6 separate regions of the Mus musculus genome follow, and all the other regions are reported to be linked to region 2. Evidence: microRNA targets listed by miRTarBase, many of them from high-throughput screens and not tested one by one. Region 2 holds a microRNA gene; each other region holds the end of a gene's coding sequence. Distances are from middle to middle.
The links. The annotated mature microRNA mmu-miR-7b-5p reads UGGAAGACUUGUGAUUUUGUUGUU and lies in region 2 at 2,120-2,143, opposite strand. An mRNA with a match to its seed (bases 2 to 7 or 8) in the 3' UTR can be bound and repressed. Matches are read on the target gene's strand: a 7mer-m8 pairs with bases 2 to 8, a 7mer-A1 pairs with bases 2 to 7 and ends in A, and an 8mer does both.

Region 1 (5,074 bases), not on the chromosome of region 2:
GGGGGTAAAAGGCACTGAGAAGAGGAAAGCGCTGCCTGATGCTTTAAAGTTTGATTGACTTTATTTGGGATGAAGAGAAGGCCCAGTGCTTAAAACATCACATATTCTAAATGTAGGGGTACAGAACCATTGTATAAGCATATTTTCAACTGATACCAGTCACTCTTGACATTTATCATAATAAGAATTGACATTAGAATTACAGTTCTTTACTGACATGTACATAGAGATTTTATATACTATGTTACATTGCGTCTTCATTTATGTCTTTTCATGAATTTATGTCACTTTATCATGTTTGTGTATATATTGTGCATGTGTGTGCTGAATATATTTCCACTAATTTCTTTTTTATATATAATTCCCTTTAGGAATAAATTTGTGGAATTTGACATGAAGCCAGTCTGTAAGAAGTGCTACGAGAAATTTCCTTTGGAGCTGAAGAAAAGACTTAAGAAACTATCTGAGACCTTAGGAAGGAAATAACTTTTGGTGTCTTTTTTCTCTCTCTTCTAATCAATGTTACTTAACCTGATCTACCCTTGCTTAAAACTATGTCAGAGCATTAGAATGGTTTTCTTCATTTCCCTTTTCTCATTTAAAAACGAAAGAAAATGTTTATTTCTATGTAAAACACAGATGAAATCAGGACTTTCATTTCTTTAGCCATATTAGTCTGTAGGCATTAAAAGTATATAACCAAAAACAAAAACAAACAAAAAAAAAAGGTTAAAGGGTAGTTTTAATTAAGCCATCCAAAATATAAATTTAACTTCAGAGTTAAACACCCTGCTCTATGGACCAACCAAAGCACTTGCTGCCAGCCTAGTACTAAGTTGAATCCTTAAGAGAGTATCTGAGACAGTGTCCACATGGGTCATGTGGAGCAAGAACTTACTCCCACAAGTTGTTCTCTAACCTCCACAGATGGCCATGGTGCATATGCGCCAACACACAGTTAATAAACATAATAGACAACCACTGTTATAAAGAGTCAGCTTTCACGGGACTCACATAAGCTTTGCTTCCCTGATCGCATAAGAAAATCATTTCCCATTCATATACTGGGAACTGTATGGGAAGATAAGTGCCCAAACAGTTCCTATGTTGTCATGTGCTTATCCAGTTAGCATTGTAAAAGGAACATGCATATTACTAAGAAGCAAAAACATTTCAGGATGACTGATTTCTTTTTTTATTAAATCACTAAGCTTAGTTTTCTATTTTGTTCTCCTTATAAATTTTTCCTTCATAAAATTACTTAACATACTTGTAACTACTAATGCATCTTTTACATTTTTAAGCAAAACAAAACAAAAATTTGCCAGTTATCTGGAAAATATTGCATACATTGTGATGTTGGGGAAATGAAGCATTTTAAAACTATATTACACATAAAATGCATAGTATTCAAATGGGACATGAAATGCACTATAATGCAGCTTCGAATGTATGGCTTTCAAAAGTGAGCGTGAGCCAGGTGTGGTGGCACTAGGCTTCAATCCCAGCTCTCTGCAGGCAGATCTCTGTGAGTCCTAGGCCACCCAGGGCTGCATATTAAAACCTTGTTTCAGAAAGAATGACTGTATCTCGTATTATCTTTGTGCTAATATCTATACTTCATACATAATCTAACTTGCCTTGCCTTAGAAAACTGCATCCTATATCAGGAATTCTAGATATTTCTTATAATATCAAAATGAGTATTTTGATTGAGATTCATAAATTTAGAATCATTCACCACTGATACATACTTTAAAAATTCTTTTCTCAGGAAGCCAGTGAAAGTTAATTCCTGTCCTCTTATTAGAACTATGCTGATATACTAAAACATTTTAATGAAGGCTTTTTTATTTCAAATGTCATAACTGGGTTTTGTTTACTATAAAGCAGTAAAGCAGTATAAATGATACCTTTAGACTGAAAGAGGGTGGTAAGAGTATCAACTCTAAGGAAAAATTGGGGAGTTCTACTTTATAAAACTGTTTATCCTGAAATGTCTGGGCCATTCTGTTTGTATGAACTCAATATGCAAGAGTATGAACATTTTTTAAATTTTTCTGCTGCTAACATGTTACCTTCTTTTTCAGTTGCCAAGATATATTTTGCAAATACTGCTGAATATAATGACTCACATTGTAGTCTCAGCATTTGGGAGGCTGAGGCAGAAAGATTACCAGGAGTTGGAGACAAATCCTAGGTTACAGTGTGAGATACTATCCCCCAAAACATCCCCACAAACAAAAACACTAGTGTATTGTTTTGCCGTAAAGAATATCTCTGGGGCCTAGGAAAACGTTCAGTCAGTAATGGACTCACACCAGCCTTAGGACCTGAGTTTAAACTTGGAGGGAGCAGATCCCTGGATTTTACGAGGTAGCCAAACTCAGCCTAACTAGTGAGCCCCAGATCCAAGGGGGAAATCCTGTATTCCAAAAAGCAAGGTGGATGCCTCCTGAGGAAGGGCCGCCTAGACTGATCCCTAGCCTCCACATCCACACACACACATGCACACATTCAGAAATATGGATGTGTACACACAAAAAGGATATCTCAGGATGCTGTTACTCTGCCATTAAAAGTTTATAATCATGAATTTTTAAAATACTTGATTATGCACATTATGGAATACATTTCTGTTTCCAGATAACTAACTTGTAACCAATCATTTTATTTCCTAATATCCTTTTCATATTAAGAGAATTATATGTGACTAAAAATATACATGATTTGTGTTTGTTAAGCATTTTAAATTTGTCTTTGCTTTTGACAATAAGAACCAAAATTTCTTCCGTGTGCCTTTGTCAGCTAAGAATGACTAGCAGTGGCTACCTTAGAAGTATTTATGAACTATTGTACATGCGTTTAGGCAGATAGAACTTGTAGTCTAGCGTCTTGATGTAACTTACATACCTCACTGGAAGTATGGAGCAGAAAAGCACTCATTCCCGTGCTTTCCCCATCCCTTTCGAGGTGTGTGGCCTTGCCTGACTGCCTTTGCTTACGTGACATCGCTTAAGCCAGAGTCCCCACTGCTGTCTTTGCTCACTTCTCTTCAGACAGGAATATTCCAGTAAGTTTGATCTCATAATTATGTGGTAATTCATCTAGAGATGGTGCTTTTCACTGTGGGGTAAATCATTAGAGCCCTTAGTGTGGAAGATGGAGGTCTAAATGGGGCCAAGACAGAGACTTCATCTACTTCCTATTAGTTGTGGGGTTTCACTGGCTGCTGGCATTTGTCAGTGAACATCTGTTTGAATTTCTGAGAACAATCTGAAATAATTCATTGTGCTTATGAAATTTCTAAGTGCCCTTTTTGTCCTTATCCTAATATAACATGGAAAATGGATACACAAAAAAGATTTTTTGTGTCATGTTCAAAGCCTTATTATAACACTTTGCCTGAAATAGGTCATTTTGCCTCATCCATTTGCCAAATTAGCCAATTTCAAGTTAGGGAAACTTTGATGTAGGCTGACAATATCCTTGTATTTTATTTTAGATTGTAAGCTTAATGGCAAGAAATTATATCAATAATTGTGCTTTTTATGTAGCAACCATTGCTGTGTACTTTTGGTGCTTAATAAATATTCATAATTATTCATAGTGTGTTACATATCATTTAGTTTGACCTATCTTTGAGAATTCAAATATTCATTTAGTATAATATGTTAGAAACATCATATATGTAAGTAAAAGAAAATGGCCTGGGTATGGTATACAAGCCAAGTTTTAGCACCTTTTGTATTAACTTTTCCTGGGGCAACACAGATAAATGTCTACTCATCCCAGACAGAGAACCATTCTACCCACATAGTTTGCTGATGTGGTGATTTCACTGAACTAATTTCCAGCAGTTTGGGTGAAGGCTACTTACAAGAATTTGGATAACTTTAGGACAGCTGCATCATAGAAAAGCTGCATCCTTGCAGCACTGGGACAACCTCCAAAGCTGCGTAAATGGAGCCCCACCCTTCAGTTACCTTTCCTCCTACATATTCTAGTGCCTCTCACAACACGCCCCTCTGGAGCAGAATCACTTACATCTGGGCTCAGGGCGTGCAGGAGGGAACAAGTAGCTCCTATCTCAAATGAGGTCTAGTGGCCTCCCCCACACACCTCCTATAAGGAAACTGCTTTGCTCAGGGTCTTGCAAGTAATCAGCAGCTATGATTACAATGGTACTAACTGTCTTACTCCAAAGACAACATCCCACAATGTCACAGAAATTGTTGGATGTCAGAATAAACAACATTTTCCAGTTCTAGGGACCCATTCCAGACCTGGCCTTGTGTTTGGTAGATATACCAATTCATTGCACACTGACCAAATGCTTGACAAGAAGCAATTTAAAGGATGAAGAGTCTCTTGTGATGAGGAAGTGTGTGTCAGCTTGCTCACATCTGGGCTGATCAAGAAGTAGAGGGAAGCCTTGGCTGCAATCATTTCTGGGCTATAACCCTTAAGACCCACCCACTGGAGCCTCATGGAGATAGTCCATATTCCAACCCTAACATCCAGTAAGCGCTCTGCCACTGAGTGGAATTCCAGCTCTCACTTGGATTTCCCTCTCTTCACAGGACAGCTGGGACTTTCCTTTGTGTACCCTTGAAATAACCACATGAGTAGATTACAGACCACCATGAATATAAGGCCACTTCAGAGTGCTTTACTAAAGCCTGTGACAGAGCAGGCTCCTGCCATAAAGTACACTTACTCTGAAGTGAAGCAGGGTAGGGTTTACAAAGTCAAGGTTCACAATCACATCACACCAGAGTGGCACGGGGCAAGAACAAGAGTTTTCATTTCAGTCGATTAAACCCTTTCCTTGTATGTTGTAAAGCAATGGGCCTTCCAAAGCTGTCGCTGTGGCTACATAAGAATCTTCTCAGCAGGATGGGCTCAGCCAATGGGAAGAGCTGAGTGTAGACTGTGGTCTGAGGGAAAGGCAACACATTGACCCATTATAAAAGGGGTAGCATTGGGTCCTCAGGTACGAAGGCTGTTCGTTTGAAAGAGTTTAATAACCAGTTAATTAAACAGTCTGTAAAAGGGACAAGAGGACTGGGTA
Region 2 (5,074 bases):
TCACCCAGTGAGGAGTTGAGGGCATGGTCAGGGGTGGAGCCCCACTTAGAGTCCCCCAGAAGAGATCTGTAAACATTCTGTTTGAGAGTATCAGCCTTTCCTAAATAGTGTGGCCGTTGCAGGAGGCTGAGAATGTTAACAAAGTCTTGTCCTAATTGACCAGTGAGGTAACAGGAAGTTTCTCCCACCGAGCTGAAGCCTGGAGAAGGCAGAGTTGGTTATGGGAGGTTATGTGAGTGGACTGTGCAGACCCAAGAGAGGAAACTGCATGGACAAAGCAGCCCCTGGGCTGCTGTGTGACTGAGTTTGATGTCAGCTTTACACGGGTGGAGCTTAAGGGAAGCAGGAACCTCAATTGAGAAAAGGCCTTTATCAGGTATTTTCATGATTAATGATTTAAGGCCATTGTGGGTGGTGCCATCCTTGGACTGGTGGTCCCAGATTCTATAAGAAAGAAGACTGAGCAAGCCAGGGGAAGCAAGTAAGCAACCAGTAAGCAACACCCCTCTATGGCCTCTGCATCAGCTCCTGCCTCCCGGTTCCAGCCCTGACTTCCCTCAGTGATGGAGTGTGGCCATCATTGTAAGCTGAATAAACTCTTTCCTGCCCTTTTCTTGAGTCAAGGTCCTGTCACAGCACCAGGATGCACACTAGGACAGCTGGGGAGAATTGCACAGTGGGGGATGGTTAGTGACTGCATTAGAATGTCACAGATGATAGGTGTTGAATGTTAAGAATGCCATGACCCACCAGACAACAAGTCCACATTTTCTTGGTATCAGTCATGCAACTAGTGGTTGCTTTGTGTGGCGGGCACAGAGTTTTATTGAAAATTGGGCTGGGGCTCCATGGGTACCGTACCCAGTCAAAGCATTTGAAATTCTGAATCCAACACCGTGTATGCTAGGCATGGTTCTCAGGGACTGGAGGCAAGAGAACTCAGTGTTCAAAGCCATCCTGGGCTACATTCAGAGTTAGAGAAAAGCCTGGACTACAGGTGACACTGTCTCAAAGCAGGCAAAGTGAAAAGAGTGAGGAAAAGAAAACAAGAAAGAGAAAAGAATTTCAGGGTTTTCTAGAAGTACCTTTGATGCCAATCCCTCTTTTAAAAGTTTTATGGCCGGGCAGTGGTGGCGCATGCCTTTAATCCCAGCACTTGGGAGACAGAGGCAGGGAGATTTCTGAGTTCGAGGCCAGCCTGGTCTACAGAGCAACAGCCAGGTCTATACAGAGAAACCCTGTCTCAAAAAACCAAAAAAAAAAAAAGTTTTATGTATGCACATGCTTTTAATTCAAACACTCAGGAGGCAGAGGCAGGTGGATCTCTGAATTTGAGGGTAACCTGGTCTACAGAGTAAGTTCTAAGACAGCCAGGTTTATATACAGAAACCCTCTCTTTTTTTTTTTTTTTTAAATGTAATTCTTTTTTTTTTTTTTAAAGATTTATTTATTTATTATATGTAAGTACACTGTAGCTGTCTTCAGACACCAGAAGAGGGAGTCAGATCTCATTACAGATGGTTGTGAGCCACCATGTGGTTGCTGGGATTTGAACTCTGGACCTTCGGAAGAGCAGTCGGGTGCTCTTACCCACTGAGCCATCTCACCAGCCCCAGAAACCCTCTCTTAAAAAAAAAAAAAAGAAAAATTTTTATGTGTGTTTATTTATTTGTGTGTGGAAGCATGTGTGTCACAGGACATGTATGGTCAGAGGACAACTTGCAGGAGTTGGTTTTATCCTTCTACCCAGTTGATCCTGGGGCTCAAGCTTGGGTTCCCTAATTTCAAAGCACTCTTTCCCTCTGAGTTACTCCACTGGCTCACCATTCCCTATTTGAGTCTCCAGAGAAAGCACGGTGCTGTGACCCAGGGCCCTGAGGTTGTGTCTCTGATCCTATCATGTAGATGTGTTTGAGTGACAGGCCAATAGCATGGGAAACACTCCTGCACTCTCCCAGGGCCCGAGACCTTGCTAGACACCCTCTCCTGTCCGTGCTAGACTTCCCTTAACCCCCTCCTGTCCCAGTTTCCTGCCCCTACCTGTTTGTGTATTTCAGGAGAAAGGTGATAGGAGTCCACGCTATGAGGCTGGCTGTGACTTGTTGTCATATCATATCAGAACAACAAAATCACAAGTCTTCCACATAGCACTGGCTCACGTACTCCGCTCCTCGTCCTCATCCTCCTCCGCCAGGTTCAACACCCTCAAGTGCTTCTCTCTCTCTCTCCATAGAGGATTGAGCATAACAAACCCCACTCACTGACTTACCCTCCCTAGACATCCCTTTTCCATTCCATCCCCTGAGACACAGGCAAGATTCATTCTCTACCTGCCCCCCAACTCACACCCTGGCACATCACCAACGTGGGATTTATTGTTCCAGGCACGAGGAGCACACACTTGTCACCCCAGCACGCAGGGAGTAGAGGCAGGAGGATGAGAACTTCAAGATCATCTTTGGCTACACAAGGAGTTCAAAGCTTGGTCTACAGTGTTTTAAAATAATAATAATTATATATATAATTGAGAGAAAAACTCTTTTTAAAAATAAAAAGAACTTGAGATTTAAAGTTGGATTGAGGCTGGCTTTCCCCTCACCACTTCACTTTGGAAATTAGTACACCCAGAGGCACTCATAACATCTCGTTGACCAAATGCTTCGCCTGTACTCTGTGAGTTTGAAGCCAGCCTAGTCTACATAGTGAGTTTCAGAACAGCTAGAGGTACACACAAAAAAACCCTGTTTCAAAAAAGAAAAAAAAAATCCCTCCGTAAAGGACAAATGCCAAGAACCATTAAGAGGTTCCTTCCCTGTACACTCTCCGCCAGAACAGACCCCAAGGCGATCCCTGAAGCTGGGTGTTGAGAGCTTGGCACTGCCAGGGGCCGGGTGCTGAAGCCTAGTCTCTTCGTGACCCGCTGGGAGCTGTCCGAAATCCTGGTGCTGAAGCCGAACTCTGCTCCGAGTCCCTCAGCCGGATGGCGCTGTCCGCGTCTCCAGTGCTGAAACATAATTAGTTATTGGGGGAGGGGGTGGTCAGTGCGGCTCGAGGACACTCTCCCAGCTTCTGCCTTCTGCCAAAATGCCCCGCTCCTTGTTTCTGTTCTTCGTCCTAGGGACCCATCTTCTGTTTTAATCTCTTCCCATGGACCCGGGGTGTTCTAGGCGGGGACGAAGGCGCAAGGCTCTCACCTGCTCCCACATCTCAGGGAGACAGCCCTGGGTTCTCTGCCCTTCCTAAACAGTCCAGTTGGCCTTCTGGAAGATGTGCCAACTTGCATTGTACCCAGAGTCCCCGCTTCCCTCCCTCAGCGCACCTTTTCCTCCTTCCTTCGTGCCTTACCTTCTCCTGCTCACCAGCAGCTGCAGGTGTCTCGGTGGCTGTCCAGTTTCCGACGTTTCACCTTTATGCGCTTAAGGGGAAGGCGGAGCGCTGGAAACCCTGGGTGGGGCTTAGCCAGTGAACCAATAGGAATCGTCTTGGAATGAAGCTCCAAGGATTACCTCATAGGTTGAGGCCTCGGCTTCAGAATAAAAGTCAGGCATCCGTCCAAAAACTTCTTTAGGGGTCTCCAGAAGGTGTCAGGGTGTAGTCCTGTGGCCTGTTAAGTTTCCACGAGAGGATCATCTAAAACCTGATCACTGAGTAGCCAGAGGATTAGCGATCATCAAGCGTGTGCCTGCTGGGACAGAGAAGCTGAAAAAAAATGTTTGAAGAAATTGAGGGATTTTGAAAATAAAGTCCAATTCTACACAGGGAAGATGAAGTGTGCGGGAATGAGACTCACAGAAGCGTAGGATAGAGGCGGAGCTCTGGCGATTTTTGTTTTGTTTTGAGTTAGGGTCTTGATTTGTAGTCCATGATGACCTCAAACTTATGATTCTCCTGCCTCAGGCTCCCATCAGGAGTTTGCCTCCACACTAGATTGATGCAGTGCTGGGAATGGAACTTAGTGCTTTCTGATTGCTGGGCCAGCGCTCTGTCCCTGAGCCCTAGTCACAGTTTCCCCCCTCTAACACAGTCTCTCTCACTTTTGTGATCCTCTTGCCTCAGCCTTCTCAGCACTGGGAAGGCTGGTGTGTGGCACATCACACACCTTCATTTACATAGCTTCCTTTGTAGCACCAAAGGGACAGACAGTCAGGGAGGACACACACTCAGGCTTGTAAATCTCCTACCAGCTCCTCAGGCTGCGGAGCTGGCAAGCCAGGTTCATTCTATACACCCTAGGGGCATGGGAGGAGGGGCTGCAGGGAACCTGGGATGAGACCCTGGAAAGCCACCTGCAAGATCTAAGCTCTGATCAGTTGTCCCTTTCCCTTCTAGCAGTCTCTTGGGTAAAACTTGCATGCCCCACGCCCTTTGTTTTTCTCTCTTATTTCTTCCCATTCTTTCAATTTGGATATGAACCCAGAGCCTTGCAGTCCCTCAAAGAGCTAAGTCATCTCCCTGAAATTATAAGATTTATTTATTTATTTATTTATTTATTTATTTATTTATTTATTTATTTATTTATGTGCACATGCACAGTACATGCATAGAAGTCAGCAGAGAGCTTGTGGGTCCTGCAGCCCACATTTAATTTAATTCATTTTAAACCTTTGGAGAATTCTTGTTCTTTTTATTGTTTGTTTGCTTGCTTGCTTGCTTGTTTGCTTTTTGAGACAGGGCTTCATTGTGTAGCCCTGGCTGTCCTGGAACTCACTGTGTAAACCAGGCTGGCTTCAAACTCAGAAAGATCAACCTGTCTCTGCCTCCTGAGTGCTGGGATTAAAGGTTGGCATCACCACTGCCACGCTGGAGAATCGTTTGGGGCTACGGGAAGCTGTTTGGCAGGTTTCTTCTCTCACATTTGTGAGGTCCTGTGTTCCATGTCCGCACATACAAATCAATAGAAAGTGAAACGGTGTGTGAAAGCCCACCCTCATGCATGTGCACACACGCGCCATGGTGCTTATCTGGAGCTCTGTGAAAGCCTTGCACGAGTAGGTTTTCTTCTTCTGCCACATGTGTCCCAGGGATAGAACTCAGGCCACCCCACAGCAAGTGCCTTCACCCTCCAGCTCCATTG
Region 3 (5,074 bases), not on the chromosome of region 2:
TTTAACACTTGTCATTGGACAGAATAGTTCTTCATCTGTTTCTCCACACACATGGACTAACCTAGACAAGAACTTTCCAATGGCCACTCCTCAATGTTTTACAATAGGACAACTTCATAAGGCTATGGGATAATCAGTTCAAATTCTAATCATAGAAACAGAAAGTGATTACATAATTTGCATGACCCAGGGCAACAAGAAAATGCAAGATCCTCATTAAAAATTTATTAGTAAATTCAAGGCAACAGCAATAAGGAAATAAACCAACTGTGGGGTCCTTATTGGCACAAAACCCTTGGAACTGAACAGAGATTGTATCCCCATGAACCCAGTTCTTGATAGACATTTCTCTAAGAATTGTGCTCAGTTTTGACACAGAGGAACTTAATGGATTTATTACAACATGAAAGATCTGTCTATGGACTTTGAGTATCATGTGAAAGACATCCAAATAAAGCAACACAATAAAATTAAAGGCACCCTCATTTTCTGCATGAACACCCTTCTTTATGGCTTCATTTCTTACTGCACTTACTGAGATTTCTCTTTCTTTGGTTTCAGATTCACCCAAGAACCTAACAGAAGCATTTGTTATATAAATAGGAAAAAGAACAACCTGTGGAATATACGTTGTGAGGATTTAAAACATCTTCCATAGTTGCAAGCCAAGTGGATCTCTTATCTGCACTTTGGTTACCAGATAACCACAGTGCACTTACTCTGATACACAGTATCCCAAAAGAAGAAGACTCGGGATTTTCTGGCAACATCAAGGAAAATGGCTTTTAAAAAAAAATGAGTTTTCTCTGTGAAATTTGGAGGATCATGAAGAACGATCAACTGTCTTCTAATTTGGAACTAACATTACTTTGTACCATTTGAAATATATATGTATATATAATATTTTGAAATATTATATATTCTCTTCAAGAAATGAACAGTACCACAATGTGAGGTGGCTGGTGTATCCCTTTCAGTTTTGGATGTTTGGTCGGTTTTGTTTTGTTTGCCATTCCTTTTTCTCTCGGTAAGGAAGATACATGCCCATGTGAAAATCCAACATGGCACTCTCCCTGGAAGGCCAGCTGCAAGCCGACTCCTGGAAGCTGAGGCATCCTAACAGTACTGAGTCAAGAGCTTCCCCCTGTTTCTACCTGGTGACCCAAGGAAGCTCCTTGTCTTGATTTATTGCTTTCTATCCTGTGCAATATTAGCATGCAAGCTTGGCTTACATAATCATACTTTATATTCGATTGATATATAATAACCGTTCTAACCTCTTCCAGGAAAATATTTTTAGAACTACTAGCTTTTCCACAGATAAGCAAATGGGGATTCTTGAGGGAGCTGCTCCACCGTGCTATTAAGACTCTGGCAGGATGGTAGGATGTAGATCCCTATATTAATAAGTCCTGTAAATACAGTGTCTTAGGGCTTTGTATAGCTGTCCTAGACTACAGAAGTGTCCTCTGATTAAATCCAAAGTCTGCCATTGTTAACTCCATAGTGCTGTAGCGACACGTTTTATCATGGCGCCTCTTTCTATGTTTGCTTTGCTTTTTCCTAGAGTGTTCATCTCTCCTCTGATGAGATAGGAAAGCTATGGAAGCAATTAGGTTTCCCAATGATCTATGTGACCAAGTGTTGGACAGCCCTATTAAAGTGGTAAATAACTTCTTTCTTAACCCACTCGTCCTCTTTGTCTGCCATTTAGTTTTATAGACTCTCTTTTAACTAAACCGAGAGATCACGAGACTACGGAGGCTATTATTTCCAACAATAATATTTTTGAAACTTAGAAACTCATTAATATGATTGTAGTAAAATATCCAATTACAATTTCTGGGATTCCATGTGGGTCACTCTGATAATATATATGGGGCTCACACACACACACACACACACACACACACACACACACCAATGAGAGGTAAAAAACAACAAAAACCTAAAATCCATTATCCCTGTCTTTTTCGAGTTACTGAGCTGAGAGGTAAGAGGTAAACACCTACTTAAGGTCTAGTTTTCCTGGGGAAAATTTTAATGGGATTTTACACTCCGATGTCATCTCACAACTGCAGGGTTTTTTTTTTCTTCCCAAATTATTCTCTGTCATCTGTGTTTTTAGAGCCTCTTAGTAAATCACAGCACTGTAGTCCCTAAGTCTGTACTTTTTAGGATCAAACTTCAAGTAAAACTCAAGATTACCTCTTATTATACCCAGAAAGCCTGAAGTTTAATTGAATGTGTGAAGTTCTAACCAAAAAAAAAAAATTTTTTTTTTGATTCTGTATTGTGAAGGCCTGTAAAATGAATGCATCTAGAGATAGAAATAGAATCCGTACTGTAAAATTGAGACTTCCAAATGCTTTGGTGGATATTTGCTAAAAGATAACAAAATCTATACCAGTATCCATGTGTGGTGGCAAGTGATAGCTAGGCATCATTTGAGATCCCAGTACTTGAAACATGGAGGTAGGAAGATTGCAAGTTCAAAGTCAGCCTGGGATACAAAGCAAGACCCCTGCCCCAAAACAAAGAAAACCATTTGTGACAGCACTCATTTCTTAGTTACAGCACTGATTCAAGGGCCAAGCAATATGCTGGTAAAAACAACCTTTCATATGTCAACTTCAGATTAAAATTAAAACCATGAACTCTCAGAATTATACACTTGAGGAAAAATTAAAATAGAAATATTTGCCACAGAATTTAGTAGAACCTTTAGTATACCCAAAGATGGTATCACATCAAGGAAGATTAGAACAAGAGAGCCTGGTTCAAAACAAAAACAAGTAAGTAAATCAGGATTCCAGCATGGCGGGGCATCATTGTGATCAATAGGGGATCATGTGAAATGGGAGCCTACAGAAATTTACTTCTAGGTGAATTTACCATAACCACATTGCCATATCTTCAGATTTTTGGGAAATGCAGAAATCAAGAGCTTTGCATAAAAGTCCCTAACAGTCCTAATAAATAAGCCAAGTTCATTAAAATGGCTGCAAATGTTATTATTGAGTCTTGGTCTCTGAAGGGTTGACTTGGTTATGACATTTGTGTCTCCTAGAGTCTTCTGACTTTGATCCCAGATGAAAGTCCAATGAGAAGAGAAGAAACCAGGCTCTGCTCCTTTTGGGGGGGGATTTTTTATTAGATATTTTCTTCATTTACATTTCAAATGCTATCCCCGAAACCCTACTCTCCCCCCACCCTGCTCCCCAACCCACCCACTCCTGCTTCCTGGCCCTGGCATTCCCCTGTACTGGGGCATATGATCTTCGCAAGACCAAGGGCCTCTCCTACCATTGTTGGCAGACTAGGCCATCCTCTGCTACATATGCAACTAGAGACATAGCTCTGAGGGGTACTGATTAGTTCATATTGTTGTTCCTCCTATAGGCTGACAGACCCCTTTAGCTCCTTGGGTACTTTCTCTAGCTCCTTCATTAGAGGCCCTGTGTTCCATCCAATAGATGACTGTGAGCATCCACTTCTGTATTTGCCAGACATTGACATAGCCTCACAAGAGAGAGCCATGTCAGGGACCTGTCAGCAAAATCTTGCTGGCATATGCAAGTGTCTGGGTTTAGTGGTTGTATATGGGATGGATCCCCAGGTGGGGCAGTCTCTGGATGGTCTTTCCTTCCGTCTCAGCACCGAACTTTGCCTCTGTAACTACTTCCATGGGTATTTTGTTCCCCATTCTAAGAAGGAACAAAGTATCCACACTTTGGTCTTCCTTCTTCTTGAGTTTCATGTGTTTTGCAAATTTTATCTTGGATATTCTAAGTTTCTGGGCTAATATCCGCTTATCAGTGAGTGAATATCATGTGTGTTCTTTTGTGATTGGGTTACCTCACTCAGGATGATATCCTCCAGATGCATCCATTTGCCTAAGAGTTTCATGAATTCATTGTTTGGGTTCCTCTGTTGTGCAAAACTTTACTTTGGAAGACAATTCTGCTAACACACAGTATGTGTGGGTCATGTTTTTCTGCTCTGGAACCAGAAGCTATAACTCAATGTAAGAGCTAGCCTAAAGGGCTACATTTGTTAGCTCACCCGCATCCATGACTTTATGTAGTAGTATCCTCTGAAGAAACCTAGAGGAAAAAAAAAAAGCAGGAAAGCAGACCATATCAGAATCAGGCAGCCATCCAGTAAGACAGTGCAAATGTTTGTAAATGTCAGATTCAATTTGGATTTATCCAAGTCACTTACACAAATGTATGAACCATCAAATTGTGTTTGCATTTAACTTGTTCAAGTTTGGGGAATTTGGTACCTACCATCTGCCTACTGTGCCTGCACATTTGGGGTGCACAAATTTTTATCTCGTGGGAATGATAGTAAAGGGATCAATGTGTATGACTAATAACAGCTTTAAGCTCATGCCCAATGTACCATGAATAATGTGGTAACATAATTGGAATATATATATCTTCAGCCAGAGTTCTGTTCTTGAAAAAAGGAAAAGTGAAGCTTGCTCTAAGTCAAAGACTTTTAAAAGCGAGTCAAGTTCATTTGTTGACACTTGGAGATCTTGGATTTACCTCTTCATCAACCCCTCAAGCACACTGAGAAGTTAACTACTCAGCATTTTTCCAGCATGGAGTGACAAGTGCTTTCACCAACACACAGCCAACATCTTTTTTTTTTTTTTTTTTGATTAAATCGTGTAGCTTTCACAAAGCAATATAGTGATTTTTATAGTGCAATATATTACGCCACCTTGCCACTGTCACTGATACAGTAAGTTATGGAGGTTATAAATATTGTTTATAGGAGTAGAATAGTCCATTCCTCACATACAGCGTGTCTCTACTAATTAAGCTTGGCAGTTCCATTTCAAAAGCTCTTAGGGTCTGTTTGACATAGGAATGTGTCATTATCATTTTGCATGAGCTGCTTCCTTCTAAACCGAAGTGTTAGTGTTTAGTAAAATTGTGAGGGTATCTCCATATATTTTCTAAATACAAAAAGAGATGTGATAATAGGCAGAACTAAAGAAAGGGAGCATTTGGGACATTGGGAATAGAATCCAGTTCCCTAGAATTCGCTGGCTTTGTGT
Region 4 (5,074 bases), 1.0 Mb from region 2:
GTGCCCACTGTCCCAGGCCACAGGAGCTGTGGTCTCCAAGCCTGTTAAGTCATCAGAGGCCACTGATGCTCAGCCTCAGTGAGGATGTGCTCACAGACAGCCGGGCTGCAGCCAGGCCTTTCAGGTACTCGGTATGGAGGGTTCTTCTGTCGTATTTCAGACAGGGTCTCACGGGACCCAGGATGGACTCAAAGTCCCTGTGTAGTGGAGCATGACCCTGAGCTACTGATCCCCCTGCCTCCACCTCTGCTGGTCTAGTCTCATAACTAAGAACTGAGAAATGCCATCGCGGATGTGGCTGGCAGATTGATGATATTTGTTGGTGGCATTTTCTCCTCTCAGGATGGTCCCTCGGCCCTTTAAACCTTTTTTGACTAGGCCTAGCAAGGGGAGCTCCAGTCAGACAGCAGGTCTGTACCATTCAGGAAGAGGTAAAGATGGCACCAGAGCAGGTGAGGGGTCCCCAAAGTGCCAATGGCTCAGAGATTGGCTCTGCCACTCTCCCTTAAGTGAGCTCAGTCCCCTGGCCCCACCTCTTGGTTTCTTGCTCTGGTCAACTGAGAGGTTCTACTGTACTGACACAGGGCCATAAGTGTGCATTCGAGTGTGTGTATGCACTGGGCCTTGTCAGCCCAGCTACTAGAGAGGTAAAGTCATGAGGGTCTCTGATTCAAGTCAACCTACACTATCCACCAAGACCCTCTCTCTCGGAAAAAGAAAGAAAGAAAGAAAGAAAGAAAGAAAGAAAGAAAGAAAGAAAGAAAGAAAGAAAGAAAGAAAGAAAGAGGGAGGGAGGGAGGGAGGGAGGGAGGGAGGGAGGGAGGAAGGAAGGAAGGAAGGAAGGAAGGAAGGAAGGAAGGAAGGAAGGAAGGAAGGAAGGAAGGAAGGAAAAAGGCTGGGGAGATGCTACAAGGGGGTAAAGTGCTTGCCCAAGCATGAGGACCTGAGCTCAGAGCCCATGCTTTAAAAAGTCAAGCTTGCTGGTACATTTTTATTAGAGACAGGTAGGGCTCAATGGCTCACCAGCCTGACCTAGTCAGGAATCTCCAGGCCAGTGACAGACACCTCTCCAAACAGTGGGCGCCTGAGGGACAATTGGAATGCCATCCCCTGGCGTCCTTATACATGTGTGTGCACACCCACAAACACACAGACACAAACACCTTCAAATTTAAAGCCAGTATCCAGAATTCAGAACGCTCCCAAAGTGTTGAAGGTTTATCTCTGAGGTTGCAGACGCTGGGAAGACGTCCTCAGTTACTGGGCTGAACCAGTAGCTGAAGCAGGAAAGCCAGCGGCTTGCGTCTCATTCCCAGCCCCTCTGCCGAGCTGCCTTCTCTGTACACAACCCTATTTCTCCTTGTCTTCGAAGCACCCCCTGCTTTTGGATCTGCCCTGCACGCTGCAGACAGTGAACCCACCTTGCTGAAGGGTCTGCCTCACCTAGGAACTATGACAGACAGTCTCAGAGTCTCTGATGGACAGCTTCATGCAAAGGCTCCCTCTAAGCCACTCTGGTCACCCTCCCTGGCCTCCAAATAGCTCCCCCAGATCCTGCGAACTCCCCCCCCCGCCCCCCCCAGTGCCCAGCACGCAGAGAAAAATTCCCAGACTAAGCTATCCAGAGCCAGAGGCTTGGTGGTGGGAAGCCGAGAAGGAAGGTGACTAGGAAGGGAGAGCTAAGGTTAAGAAACAGCTCTAGGCAGGTAAGGCACAGTCAAGGCCTCTCACCTGAACCTTCATTTAGAGCCTGCATCAGAGACTTTAGCTCTTGTTTAAAGACCAGAGCGCAGCCTCCATGTGGCACCTTCGTAGATGACGCCAGGTGCTCTCAAGCCTGTGACACCTGGATACTGAGACAGGAATCTCACCTACACCCTCTCTTTCCTGTCACCTACACCCTGCATGGCTTCCTCTCCATCCCTGTTCCCAACTCAGGTGGGGCATGAGCAGGGCACCCATGACTCCAGCCAGTCCTAGCAGATCCCCTGTCGCTCCTGGCCTCAGCACCAGTGCCAACTCCACCAGGCCTTTCAGAGCGGCTGTGAGCTCTTCCAGGGGCCTCCCCGGCCAGCGCCAACACCTCAGTTCTATAGAGGTGGAACGCAAGGGTCTGGGGACAGCAGGAGAGTTTGTGATGGGAGGGAAGGCAGGAAGTGGGTTGCTTAGCCACCTCCACCAACCCTAGGTTCCTATTCTGCTCCTTGATCCTCTCCCGGCCCTAAGTTCCCCCCCCCCCCCCTTTTAGGCTTCCTGCTCTGTGCTACCACCTTTGTCATATGCTCCTCCCCTGTCCTAGCCTCCTTCCCAGATCCAGGCTTCCCCTCCCAGCCCTCCTTGCTATTTAGGCTCCTCCCCTGCCATTTCTTCGAGTCACTCTAGTCTTCCTCGCTCCTGCTCTAGGTCCTAGATTCCTCCCTGGCCTCATCCTAGGTCCTCCTTTAACTAAATCCTTCCTTAATCCTAAGCACCCTCCCCTTCCCTAGGCTCTGCTCCTATCCCTGACTTCGCCACGCCCCCGCCCTTCCACTCCCCGCAAGTCTTTGACCACGCCCTTGCTCCACCTAGGCTCTGCCCTATGCCAGTCCCCAGCCCAGATCCTACTCTGCCCACAGTACCCTGCAAGCCAGTAGAGTGCGCCTGCTGGAGGGTGAAGAAACCTCTGGGCGGCTGGACCAAGGTGGCCCACGATGCACCCCTGTTTCGCAGGGCGGCTGCCCAGCGCCTGCAAGGTGAACAAGGGTCCCTTGGAGGCCTCTTAGGCTAAGCTTTCCAGTCTCACCCAGCTGGGACGCCTCACCCCTGGAGAGGGGTCTAACTGCAGTCATGAACACCAAATATTGCTTCCCACAATAAAAGGGACCACTGAGCCAGCAGAGCTACAACCATGGTGTCTCACTCCAACCTCTGGCCTAGGAAGATCTCCCGGATGATCACTGGGATCCATCCCCTCCAAGACCCCTTCCCTAGTCAGAATCCCATCTCTTTGCTGGGCCCAACCCAACTGCTAAGACTCTTATGCTGGGTCATTTCTAAGACCTCAGATGTCTCCACCCTCAAAAGGGGTAAGCTGGGTGGACATGCCCCTCAATCCCACCCTCCAGGCATGTCCCCTAAGGCAGGGACCCCTGCACTGAGCATCCAGACTGGCCACCCTTGTGCCCCATGGTTGTCCTGCAACCTGCTCTCCTGTACCCTTCTGCTAACCCCTGCCCAGGCACTCCCCCATGGCTCCTACCAGGTCAAAGTTCTTAGCATTAAAGGACAGGTATGGGAGAGGCCTGAGCCACACCCCCAGGGCACCTGACTCTGCCTACAGGATCCAGACCCAACCCAGCACTATGGGAGACACTGACCACCAACTTCCTGTACTGCCTACTGTGGGGGAACAAGGGAGTCCAGGCTGCCAGAGCTGACCGCATACAGAAGTTCTATCACATCCTGTCCCATCAACTAAGAACCTCATGGCTGAGAGCCCATCCCCCATCCCTCTTATACTGGCGGGACCCCAAGGACACTGCCTCCAGCTATTCAAGAGGCTACAAACTGAACTTGGTGCCCACATCCATCACGCCAGCACTTGGGAAATGCAGATGAGAGAATCAGGAGTTCAAGACCATCCTTAGCTACATAAGTTTGAGGCCAGCCTGGGCTCTATGAAAACTATGGGGAAATTGTTTTGAATTCTGCTCCCCTCCCAGGTCCAAGTTTATAAGAATCTTCCTCTTAAAATGGACCCCAAGAGACTGGGGTGCAAAAATGGACCCCAAGAGACTGGGGTACAAAAATGGACCCCAAGAGACTGGGGTGTAACAGCTGCCTCCTTTTTACCAATAAACCCACTCAAGTATCCACAGAACAACACTCACGCTCCAGTATGAACCACTCATCCCGGCAGCTGGGAAATCTCTGCACTCTAGGGAAACGGAAGGTAGACATGCCTGTTCTAGAGCATGGAGATCACAAGCATGGGTAACATGCACAAGGCAGGCTTGCCAGAGCGCACCGAGGTTCACCTCCATTTATTCCACACGGGGCTCATAAGAAAGCTTTTATCTCATTTTAACTTGGGCAGGATACATGCAGGTATGAGTGCGACTGCCAGAGTCGGCCAGAGGGGGCCTAGGCTTGGATGTCTGTGAGCTTTGGGAGCTGCTTTTGAAAACCAACTCCTGGTCCTCTGCAAGAGCATCCAAAACCCGACTCCCAAACCACCTCTCCACAGAGATGCCTTTTGAAGGTCCATTCCCGACACTGGCGGTGCAGACTCCAAGAACTTTATATAATTATATATACTTTTTTAATATAAAACAAAACTTGGCTCAAGCCAAGCGGCGGGAAGAAAGATCTTAAATGACAAATATGTACAACCACGTGGGAAGCCACAAGTGGGTCCCCGTAGGGTGACAGGTGACAGGTGAGTGAGGGACAGCAGGTTACACAGGTCTCAGCCAAAAGCCACGTGGGCAGGAATAAAGTGCAAGGTCCTGGGGGCCCCCCCTGTGGCCCAGAAGCAGCAGCTGACAGCCCTGCCCCTCGTCCCCCTCTGGTGGGGTTCAGTTGAGTGTGACTCGGAGGTAAGAGGTGGGCACGTAGCCCTCAGCTCCCTGTTTCCTCCTGACCCGCGTCCATCCATCACCCTTGTCTTCCTCCATCAGGCTGAGGTCTTCCCCCTCGGACATGGAGACGGTTCCCTCGCTGGATCCTGTTGGGGAGTAGCGGGGGCAGGTCAGATTTGATGAATCTGATCAGAAGGCATGGCTCCAAGCAACTGCTACATCCCCTGGTGTAAGGGGAACCTGGGATCTTCTAATCTCAGAGACAAACTTCTGGGATGTCCGAGAGGGAGCTTCTAGATTGTCTGAATTAAGATGGGAAGCCCCACCATGAATATGGGCAACACCATCCCACTGGTTGGGGTCCTGTACTATACAAAGGAAAATTGAGAGTCTGAGGCAGCTCTGTGGGTAAAGATGCCAGCTGTCATGTTTGATACCGAGGACATAGACAGTAGGAGGGAACCCACCTCTCTCACACACAACACAAAAATGGTTTCAAATAAGAAAATAAACCC
Region 5 (5,074 bases), not on the chromosome of region 2:
GGGCTAGGCAGGGTCTTCCGGAGGCCTTCCCTGCCTAGAGACCGCTAAGTGAGCCCAGGCAATCCGGAGCTGGCTTCAAAATCAGCAACAGGGCGGTGGGGGTGGGGGTGGGGGTGCCTCACAACAAACAGTGGTAACAGAAGGTTTGTGTGGGAAGATGGTCTAAAACAAGCAGTGTCTGTGGTAATGAGCTGTTGTGAGGAAGTATGTGGGGCCTCCGAAGCAGGCTGCTGCTTTTCCAGGGCTGGGCTTTTCGGGGAGAAGGGGATGCAGGAAGACAAGGAAAGGGCCCGACTGAGGCACATGGGGACGTTACAGAGCACAGAAGCCCATAGTGTGCGTGGGGTCCCAATGAGAAACAGCCAGCAGGGCGGTGAAGCACCTGAGGGCTGGCAAAAAAGCAGGGAGACGGGTCCAATATGGAACTGGAAGGGACAAGAAGAGGGTGTGGTACCAAAGCTTACTGTCTGGAACTGTGGCCTAGGAAGGAGAGGCTGCCCACTGCCAACATGCACCTAGAGACAGCTGGGGGGTAAAGCCCCTCCCTCGGCTTCTCCATCACACCCCTCCCACCTGCATCTTCGATGGCTCCTGACCACAAGCCAAAGGCCAAGGGGCCAGTCAGCCTCTTCCCAGGGGGAGGATGGAACCAGGCAACGCTTGTGGCAGGCCGGTTTGGATGGGATAACCGTCGGCAGCCATTCTGAGATCAGGCACTCATGACACCTGTGAACGGCCTGTGTCGTCTTTACCTATGGAAGGGTGATGATACAACTTTAAAATCAGACTACGAAAGCCAGAACCAAAACATGAGTGAAAACAACACAACTTTGTACAAAATGGACAGGTAACATTTATTAAAACTTGTCATACAAAAGGACATGGTCTCTTCTATAAGAAGAAAATATTAAACGGTAACATTCAATTAAAACCACGCTGTACACTGAAGACAGCAATTCTAGAAAGAACTATTTAACTTCTAAAACACAGGTGGTTCACAAATATCCATGATATGCACCTAATGACAATCTGCTTATCATCCCATGGTTCTGTGGTCTAAGAGTCACCTGACTTGCATAAATAAAATAACTTTCTGGAAGAAACATTGGGACCCTCATAAAAGGAAAGGAGGCAGCAGCAACTGACATGACACAGGCTTCAAGCAACATTTAAAATGAAAAAAAAAATCACATTTGCAAAAGGTGTTCCAGCATCTTCCCACAGGGCACTATCAGTAGAGGTTTGCAAACTAGTACCTTTAAATATGTAAATAGCAGAGAGAGAACAAAAAGAAAAACAAAACCCAAAGCAACCCAGGATTCTCTGGATAAAGTTAGTTTTACGGTCAAAGCAGCCTAGTTCCCAGGAGGCCAAGGATAGCCTGGCCTATGGCCCTCAGCATTTCCAAAGTATCTGAGAATTTAGGGAGCAACCACATCTGTGGGCACAGCAAAGCTCCACCCCGACCTTGGGGACTCAGCCCCAGTACACCTTTTCCAGAATGTTCAACTTCTCAGGGTACATCACCCACGGTAGCACGTAGCTTTCCCAACAGCTAAAAGGCGGCCCAGGGTCAGAGTGGTTCAGGAAACTCCTCTCTCCTGCAATGGAAGGGAGCCTTTAGGGCAGGCTCTGAAGATGTAGGCGGAGGTGGTGAGAGCAGAAATCCCAGGTCCTGGGCCAGGGCTCGGGAGAACACAAGGTAAACCACAGCACAAGAGGAGCTCCTGTGACGTGTGCATCCCAGATTGAAGGCATGTGCCTGCAGATTAGGAAACGCAACCAGTGGGGCCTTGAAGCCCTTTGTACTCGGACTGGAGACAACCAGCCAAGGCTCAGAGTGGAGACATACATTGTACTGGTGGGCAGTGCTGCCCACGACTAGACTAGTCAGGCTCTTCTGGAAGGGTGAGGATTTATTTCCTAAGGCAGTGGTGAGGGGAGAGGCTGGTACTCTAACAGGGCAGGCTGCCAGAAAGGCTCTCTACTGGGAAAGGCAGGTCAGAAGCCTTCTGGACCGTGGACACCCCACCTTCTCACAGGGTCTGCCACATTCCAACTGAACGAAAGCTTTGTCAGCTTTTGACAAAGGTTACTGACTCAGTACAACCCAAGGACCAGGCTTGTTTTACCCCCCAAACTCTTCCCTGCAAAGGTCTCAGCTCTTATATGAATAGACTTCAATGGGAGACAGCACATGGATCTGCCCAGCAGGCAGAAGGCATGAACATGAGGGTTGCTTCTGACAACAGAACAGCTTAACTGCCTCAGTGTAGAAATACTAAGAAGCCAAAAGCACTTCATCCTCACCAAGCTCAGGGTCATCCGGAAACCCACTGGCCTCTAATACGTGAAGGGTAGGAGGCGTGTGAGTGTGACTGTACATCTGTATTCACTTCTCAGGGACAGGGACAGGGACAGGGCTGCTGACTGGCAGACACTGGAAGATCTGAATGTAGCAAACCACTAGGAGGTAATACCTAGTTTCTAGATTTTAAAACAAAAACAACCCTACATCTATACTTATAATAAAGGTTTAATACAAAGTGCTTTTATATGCCAAGACTGATACAGTGTTTGTAAATAGATCCCTGTTTTGTAATCTTGATCACAAACATTTACTGGCGAGTCCATATTTTCTTTTTTCTTTCCTCTTTCCAGACAAAGGTCAAAGGTACATCCTTTGTGTCAGGGCCTGAAGACCAGAGGCTTTTGCCAGAAATGTCTGTCATGTTAGAGAAAGCCAAACTTTAAAAATGAAACAGATGATAATATAGGAGCAAACCCCTGCCCTACTGTCTAGCTCTGTCTGACACAGCCTAGAGCCAGAGGGAGTCTCTGCTGTGGGAGTGGCCTGTGGGCGTGTCTGGCCAGCAGTCTTGACTGTCAATGTTCAAGTTCCTGCCTGGAGTTTCCTCACTGACGGTGGTGTGAGCTGACATAAACCTTTTCCTCCCTAAGCTGCTTTGGCCAGTAACGCAAAGCACACCAGACCCCTACCCAGCAGGAGCCTCAGGCCCGTCACAGGCTTAAAGCTTTCTGAGCTTAAGCTTTCTTCCCAACCTAAAACATCTGACCATGCAGAACAGACCTCAAGGACAGCCTTGTCCTTGCAGAGATGGTGTATGTATGTATGTATGTATGTATGTATGGTGTGTGTATGCATAAACTACTGGGACTTGTAAATGCAGCTTTCTCTGTGACTGGGGAACATGAGTCTGTAGATGACGTTGCTTAATGTAGGGCTCCTTCCCCCTCTGAAGCCACAAAGAGCTGACAATATTGCTCAGCGCACCCTCTAACTGAGCACTGTCCACACCAGTGTTTTTAGGATTCCTTTCTCAAGCCTTCTGTGTATAAGTTGCTGCCTCTCACTTACTGAGTCTGGGAACGTCTTGTTCCTGGAGAACCCTCAGCCATCCATTCTGGCTTAGTCTCAGGAGCTGTGGTCCCTGGCTGCCCTTTTGGGTAGCACCATGATCTAAGGCAGAGGAGCCACAGGTCACTGCTAGCCAGCACTGTCGTGTGACACTGCAAACTGGTCTTCCCCTGCCATTAAATGAGGGAAGCGTAGGACAACACACCAACTAGAAACACCTATCTCTGGCACCCATAGACTTGACCAAGTAGAATTAAACATAAAATCGTGCCTTATCCAGAATCTGCAGCATGGTGACAGTGTCTCCTGCTTCGGACTCTGAAGCTCCGCCTGACATCACCAGGGCTTTAGCTAGAACCTTTAGAACGGTATGAAAGTAGACAAAAAAGAGCTCTGCTCACAGCTCAGCCCAGGAGTCCTTGCTGTAGCCTTGAGGGGAGCAGCATCCAGAGATGCAGCTACCAAAGCAAAGCCCAGAAGCCCTGTAGCTACCAGGAGAGAACAAAATGCAACAAGACCTCAGGACAACAGTGACAGCCGGCCGCTGCCACCTGGGCAGGACTGGGTTAGATTCTGCCACCCAGTCCCCTGCCTTAGCCACTGCTGACTGGAAGAGCTGTCTTGCCAGCTGGGCACTGGGTGAACTTAGCCCCATCATCCATTTAGGCCAGGATGAGAACATACAGATTTGAGAAATTAAATCTTTTAATTGGCCTACTTAGAGCTGGTCTTTCAGAAATATCTTTTTTTTTTTTAAGCCTCTCTCATAATAGCAAGTGGCACGCATCATCTGTGCCCAGATTTGCATTAATTACCATAGTTTATTTTTATGCATGCCACTCAAGGGCCAGACCCTATTTTTAGTTAGCCTCAGTTGTATTCTGCTCAGCCTTTGCAGCTTCATAGGACTTGGTACAAGAAGTCACATGCCTGTGGAAACTGTCCCTCCACATAAATCTCTTTGCACAGATATTACACTCGTAGGGCTTTATGCCTGTATGAATTTTCATGTGGCCCACGAGATGGTGCTTCATTTTGAATTTCTTACCACAGACACTACAGCCATACGGGCGAAGACCGAGGTGCATGCTCATGTGTCGATCTCGCTGACTTTTGTGCGTGAAACTTTTCCCACACTGACAAGGATACAGCTTGTCGGTGGCCGAGAATCCTAAGTGGGACGCCTCTTCTTTTATCCCCATCGCCATTTCAATATTCTCACTGTAGCCTGCGGCAAGGGCAGCCTCCTGTTTGTGTCCAATTAGATTCCCACCCAACTTTTCTCCAGAGAACTCTTCCATGGAGGAGCCATAGAAGTCCACCTGTTCATCATAGCTGCTGCCTTCTGCTTGCTCATCAAACTCTACTTCCACTTTCTTTTCCACAATTTGGAACTCCTCCTCTGCTCCCGAAGGCTGGGCAGAGTGATCCGTCTGCATGGTATTGACGGATTCAGTGACCTGGTGCTCATCGTAGGCTGCGTGAACATCCATGCCATCCCATGCCTGTTCCAAGCGCTCAGGCTTCACGTGGATCCAGCGCCTATGAGCCATGATGCTGGGCTTGCTATACAGAGGCCGGGTGTAGTGGAACTCAGTACTGTCATTGGTCCCCTCCTCCCCGTCCTGGCTGGCCATCTCTGTGCTCAGTCGGTCGTGCTCAGTAGACGAGTTACTGGGCAAATACTCGTGCTCG
Region 6 (5,074 bases), not on the chromosome of region 2:
CTTTTGATAATTGATTTTTCTTCTCTTTCTCTTTAAATGACACCTGTTTTTCTCCACAAAAATTAGTTCATTTTTGTTTTATTATAAACATGTAGTTCAATTACTAAAAATGGAAGCATTACAAAAATAATTGCTTTTCTCATTTTGATGACATTTTCTGTATGCCAGTTTTATTTTATCATAATATTTAAACTTTCAAAATGCTTGATCTGGTTATATACTTCCTCAGCTTTTAAGTGTAAAATTATAACTTAAGTTTTTTTCTTTTTTGAAGGTTGTTTTGGAAACAGAAATTACAAATAAGTCTGCTTTGAAACTTTATGAAAATCTTGGTTTTGTTCGAGATAAGAGGCTGTTCAGATACTATTTAAATGGAGTTGACGCACTGCGACTTAAACTGTGGCTGCGCTGAGGAACTGACAGCAAGGAACGACTCCACCCACACGGAAGCGACTTTTGCATGCAATGCAATTTGTGCAGAATTGCTTTGCAGGTGGATTTAGTGATTCCCATGCAGCTGTTATCTGTCAGTGTCCATTGAGTGTTGCACAATATTTGTTGCACTTTGGCATGGCGCATTTGTTCTGAATTAAATGAGATTGTTTTAAACTTCAAGAGTTCTGTTGGTACCAGCAGGATGTGCCAGTTAATAGCCAAGACTTGTTCATTTGCAAAGTCTGCTGACAGTGCTATTTATATAGTGATCATTTTATCACAGAACCAGTAAGTGGGACATGATTTTTGTTCCTTCAAGAAGCCAATGTAGATTGTAAAAGTCTCCTAAGTATACTAACATTTCACACAAAACCTGCCATAGTTTTTTGAAGGGGGTGAGGGAAAAGCTTCAATTTAGGTTTTATTTTTTCAATATTAAATTTTCCATCTTGAATATTGGTACCTCAGTGATTAGTGGATGAAAAGTGTAGGGTGGAATTTGTCTTATGATGAGTAAAGATGACAATTAAATTGCGTCTGCCAGTGCCTGTGTAGATAAGTATTCTTGTCTTCATCTCTAGTTTTTGAATGCATGCTCTTTTTCTTTTTCTTTAATACCTTTGCAAGCAAACTTGTTTTTATTTAAATTCTAAATTTGATAATAAATTATTTCAGATTTTTATCATTTGGACAGTTTTTCTAGGTGAGTGGCAGTACTTTGCTTTAGAAGGAAGTCCCTTCTTCCCTTACAGTAAGAAGCTGACCCTACTTGGGAAACTGAGAAATGGCTTAAAGGGATGGAGCTGGGAATTGTGGGGTTTGGATGCACTTTTTTGTTTTTGTTTTTTTGAGAATGGGGGAATTTTTGAAAACAATAGAAAATTAATGTAAATTGGTATGATCTTATTTAATCAAAATGATTGATAAGCTGTGAAGAACAGCTTCTATAAACTAGCTGGGTTTTTTCTTTTTTCTTTTTAACTTTATTTGAATTCACATTGCTTCCATTTCTGAAAATACTTCACTTTTGGTTTAGTGTTAGAAATGAATTTCAAGGAGCATTGTATCCATTTCAAGCTGCATTTATTTTCTTTTTACTCATGAGCAGATTGTTGGGGGACCTTTGCTTTGTTCCTCCAGAAAAAAAGGAGAGGGATGAAACATTTTTTTAATGAGTTCTTTGGGTTTTCTGAGCAGCCAAGGTGTTTATTAGTTACAGTGGATTTTGGCTAATCAGTGTAATGTTAGCAAATTGTAGCTCCCTGCTTTGGGTTGAGTTGGTAAAGCTGTGATGAGTAATTTATTTAACTAGGATACCTAAGCACTCATAAGGAACAAGAGTCAGTTTCTCAAAAATGCTTATAGGAATCTGGCATTCATGTTGTTTTTTTCTTTTGAATATACTTTTCTTCTACTCTAATACTTGGTTTGAATTTTATTTTATGGCTGTAATTACTGTATTTTTAAAAACCCTACCTCCATTAACAGTTGGTAAAGGCCCCTTTTCAGGAAAGTTTGTTGCGCTTTTTTTGTTTGTTTGTTTTAAAGGAAAGCTGCTCTTTGCTCAGTATAGTATTTTGGAAGTGAACATGGTAACAAGTACTTTTAAAATAAAGATGCACAGTTTATATTTGAAAATAAAAACTTCCTGCTGGTGGGATCATTTATAGTTCCTTATTTTTAAGAAAATGTGTCTTTCCATTTTATATTGCTCCTTAAAGTTTAATATTAAAAATGTGATAACCACATAGTACTCAGCTTTTCTGCTGACCATTTTGAATCTGTTTTGGTCAAACTTCATTTGGGTCCCAGCATTTAGAAGAATGCCAGTCATCATAATGCCTCTGTTCTCATTTTCAGTGTGAAGGAAAGTAGCTAAACAGTGTACTTGACATCGTCAAAAGTTGTTTTGATTTGCTGGTACATAGGGATGACTTGTTGAGGAACATACATTTTCTTGACTCACTCTAATGGATATAGTTGTAAAATAGATATGTGCTAGACTTACCAATTCAAAAGTTTTGTTCTTCCTAGGTTGTCAGGGAAGTATCACTACTACCCTTCAGTTCAGAATTGCTGAAGTAACTGATTGTCTGATGATTTGTGAACATGATCTTAACTATGTGACTAAAATATCAGATCATTACAATACTGCTCAATTGATGGATACATGTTGAATATCAGTGTATACTTTGATGTTTTTAATTACTTGACCCTTTTTTTAAACCTAAAATTTTAACCTAATTTGATAACCTAGTAACAAAACTTTGCAAGTTGAATTGCTTCAACTTTAATTTGACATTAGGCTTTCAATTCTCTTTTATCAGCTTAAAGTGGTTCCATTTATAATTGACAGTGGGTTCACTTGGCTAAAACTGAGCAAAATTGGTGCAACTTTCTTTTAGTGGGGTGCTGCCTCTTTAAGACTGACTGTACTATCTATCCACTGACACTGGTTTAGCAGTTGATACTGCTGAACATTTAATACATGCTACCATGAAGCTGTATATGTTAGTATTGAAGAAAGCTAACGGGTATGCTACCAGTCTTGTAATTTCCCATACATTGGGATGAAACTACTTAACTCGGGAATAATCCAAGTCTACAGATCATAAAACATATTACTGCTTGATGTTGAAGTCAGCAAAATAAGATAAAAATTGATTTTACCATTTTCTGCCTCCTCTAATACACACGTAAGACAAATCTATGTAAAGGAGTTTGTCATGTTTTAACTCTTACCATGCCCTGTGTTAAGGTCTTGGCTGGTATATATGACTAGATGTGTATGTTTATTATGGTGTCTAAAAATTATGAGGTTCATTACTTTCTAGGACCATACAGGAAATCAGGTTGGCAGTACACCAGTTACTTTTCAGTATACGTCTACATTACTAGGATGAGTGCTATAATGTCCAAGGGCTTTCAGGTTTGTAAAAACATAACCATAAGTTACATTGTCATCACATATGAGTTGAGTATCTATGAACTATCACGTGTATCTCAAAAATATTGGACTGCTGTTTAATGACTGGGGATATTGCTGCATAATTTTCTCCTATTGACCCCTATCCTTTTGGAGAGAGAGATTTGATGGGATTTGAAATGTGCAAGCTGTCTGAATAAGATACAGTCAAATAAAGTATGGTTAAGTTGTGTTTGCATTTTTCTTTAAGATACAGCTGTGTGCATTCTATAATTTGGTTTCAGATAATCAAAAAGCAACCTGTTCTATTTCTCACTGCCCTCTATCAGGAGTTATTTGGAAGGAACGATATAGGTGCTATCTCTCTACTTTATATTCTGACAAAGTAAATTTGGAAATAAAATAAAAAACTTGATTGCTAAGTGTACTTGTTAGTCAACTGGGCTAGCAGTACCAGGGAGAACATTTTTAAGCATTCATCAACTGAAAGTAGTTTGCTTTTTATCCTTGCTCCTAGCAACTTATTCCTAAGTCAGTTTTGAGTTTTACTGTTTGTACAAACCTTCTTGTGTAAGTTGTATTTTTTCCCCTTTTGTTAAACACTGAAGTGGAGCAGGATCTAATGGGCTTTTTGACCTATTCTTGGGAGAAACTTGAGTGGGTAGTTATGTATTCTTTCATATTTGAAGTACTGAGGATCAGTGGGAGGACGAGATCATTTAATTGTGACTGCTCAATTTTGTCATTCTTACTGAATATTTGTTCTTTATAATAGTGTGAAACTTAGATTAAGTTTTGATCTTTGTAGCAGTGTGAAGCATCTAGTTGAGCTCATGTTGTACTTGGACCCAAATGTCTCATAGAATAGTGTAAATGAGGGACAGAAATGTGAGACCATTGGTGTCCAGACCTTGATGATTTATAAACAACTTTAAAAAACCCAAAAAGCACTACAGCGTATAGCGGAGTTGTCTTCTTCTTTTTCAGATGAGCTACCCATGTGCACTGTTCACAATGATGGAAATGCTCTGTACACTCTTGAGGATGGGGCTACTAGTCGTCCTTCACTCCTGAGCTCCCAAAGGCTCCCAAGGACAGAACTCATTTTACTTATGTGACATGAGTTGCCTGTGGCTGTTGGCTCATGTATGGAGAGCAGGGCTTTAGATAATATACATCTGAAGAAAGCTTATTGAGATGTGAATAATTTAAAGTTGCCTCTGAGCAAAAGCTCTAACTGAGCTGTTTGTATGTTAACACTTTTCTTTGTAGTGTTCCTGCCTCCTGCCCCTTGTGTGAATGACCCTTTGAAAAAAACCAATTCTTGCATCTTACTGTTGCAAGTGTTTAGAATTACAGAGACTATAGACTCAAATGCCAGAGACTGTTCTGAGATGATTAACACATTTTAGCTTTGAAAACCTGTAGCATTAGGCCCAACGGTTTATTTATATTAATTTGAAATAATATCCCTTTTAAATAAAATAGATCTCATTTTATCAATGGTCAACCTGGACTATGGAGATATGTCCTATTTAAACATTTTAAATACTCGATGAGGCTAAAGGCAGATGTTCTTAGTTCCAACAGGTTAATTTTGTCTGTTTTCATGGAATATCACTTCATCTTCACTGATCATTTGGTTAGCTGTAGTTCAGTAAAAGGCAGCAGTGAAGATGGCGCCTCCCAGAAGAGTACTTGGCTTGGTATAAT

Region 1: miRTarBase lists Lims1 as a target of mmu-miR-7b-5p. The part of its 3' UTR that is shown has no 7-base or 8-base seed match.
Region 3: miRTarBase lists Tafa1 as a target of mmu-miR-7b-5p. Seed matches in the 3' UTR shown: 7mer-A1 at 649-655 and 7mer-A1 at 1,279-1,285.
Region 4: the mRNA of Trip10 is a reported target of mmu-miR-7b-5p. The part of its 3' UTR that is shown has no 7-base or 8-base seed match.
Region 5: miRTarBase lists Zbtb43 as a target of mmu-miR-7b-5p. Seed matches in the 3' UTR shown: 7mer-A1 at 3,988-3,994, 7mer-A1 at 2,442-2,448 and 7mer-A1 at 1,095-1,101.
Region 6: miRTarBase lists Naa30 as a target of mmu-miR-7b-5p. The part of its 3' UTR that is shown has no 7-base or 8-base seed match.

Annotation. Positions count from the first base shown.
Region 1 is chr10:58,421,083-58,426,156 of GRCm38, forward strand. It overlaps Lims1 (LIM and senescent cell antigen-like domains 1), which reads left to right. Exons shown (of 11, transcript NM_001193303.1): 11 at 372-3,609. The coding sequence ends at 373. Among named protein-coding and RNA genes, the nearest start is that of Ranbp2, 23 kb to the right of the region's middle.
Region 2 is chr17:56,240,086-56,245,159 of GRCm38, reverse strand. It overlaps Mir7b (microRNA 7b), which reads right to left and starts at 2,172; the gene lies at 2,062-2,172. It overlaps A230051N06Rik (RIKEN cDNA A230051N06 gene), which reads right to left and starts at 3,444. Exons shown (of 2, transcript NR_155493.1): 1 at 3,346-3,444; 2 at 2,355-3,004.
Region 3 is chr6:96,654,206-96,659,279 of GRCm38, forward strand. Tafa1 (TAFA chemokine like family member 1) reads left to right here. Exons shown (of 5, transcript NM_182808.3): 5 at 562-2,993. The coding sequence ends at 579. Among named protein-coding and RNA genes, the nearest start is that of Gm26011, 96 kb to the left of the region's middle.
Region 4 is chr17:57,262,631-57,267,704 of GRCm38, reverse strand. Trip10 (thyroid hormone receptor interactor 10) reads right to left here. Exons shown (of 15, transcript NM_001242389.1): 15 at 4,008-4,705. The coding sequence ends at 4,557. It also overlaps the pseudogene Gm46575. Among named protein-coding and RNA genes, the nearest start is that of Vav1, 14 kb to the left of the region's middle.
Region 5 is chr2:33,449,458-33,454,531 of GRCm38, forward strand. Zbtb43 (zinc finger and BTB domain containing 43) reads right to left here. Exons shown (of 3, transcript NM_001025594.1): 3 at 830-5,074. The coding sequence ends at 4,240. Among named protein-coding and RNA genes, the nearest start is that of Zbtb43, 17 kb to the right of the region's middle.
Region 6 is chr14:49,187,276-49,192,349 of GRCm38, forward strand. It overlaps Naa30 (N(alpha)-acetyltransferase 30, NatC catalytic subunit), which reads left to right. Exons shown (of 5, transcript NM_027492.2): 5 at 275-3,613. The coding sequence ends at 412. Among named protein-coding and RNA genes, the nearest start is that of Naa30, 18 kb to the left of the region's middle.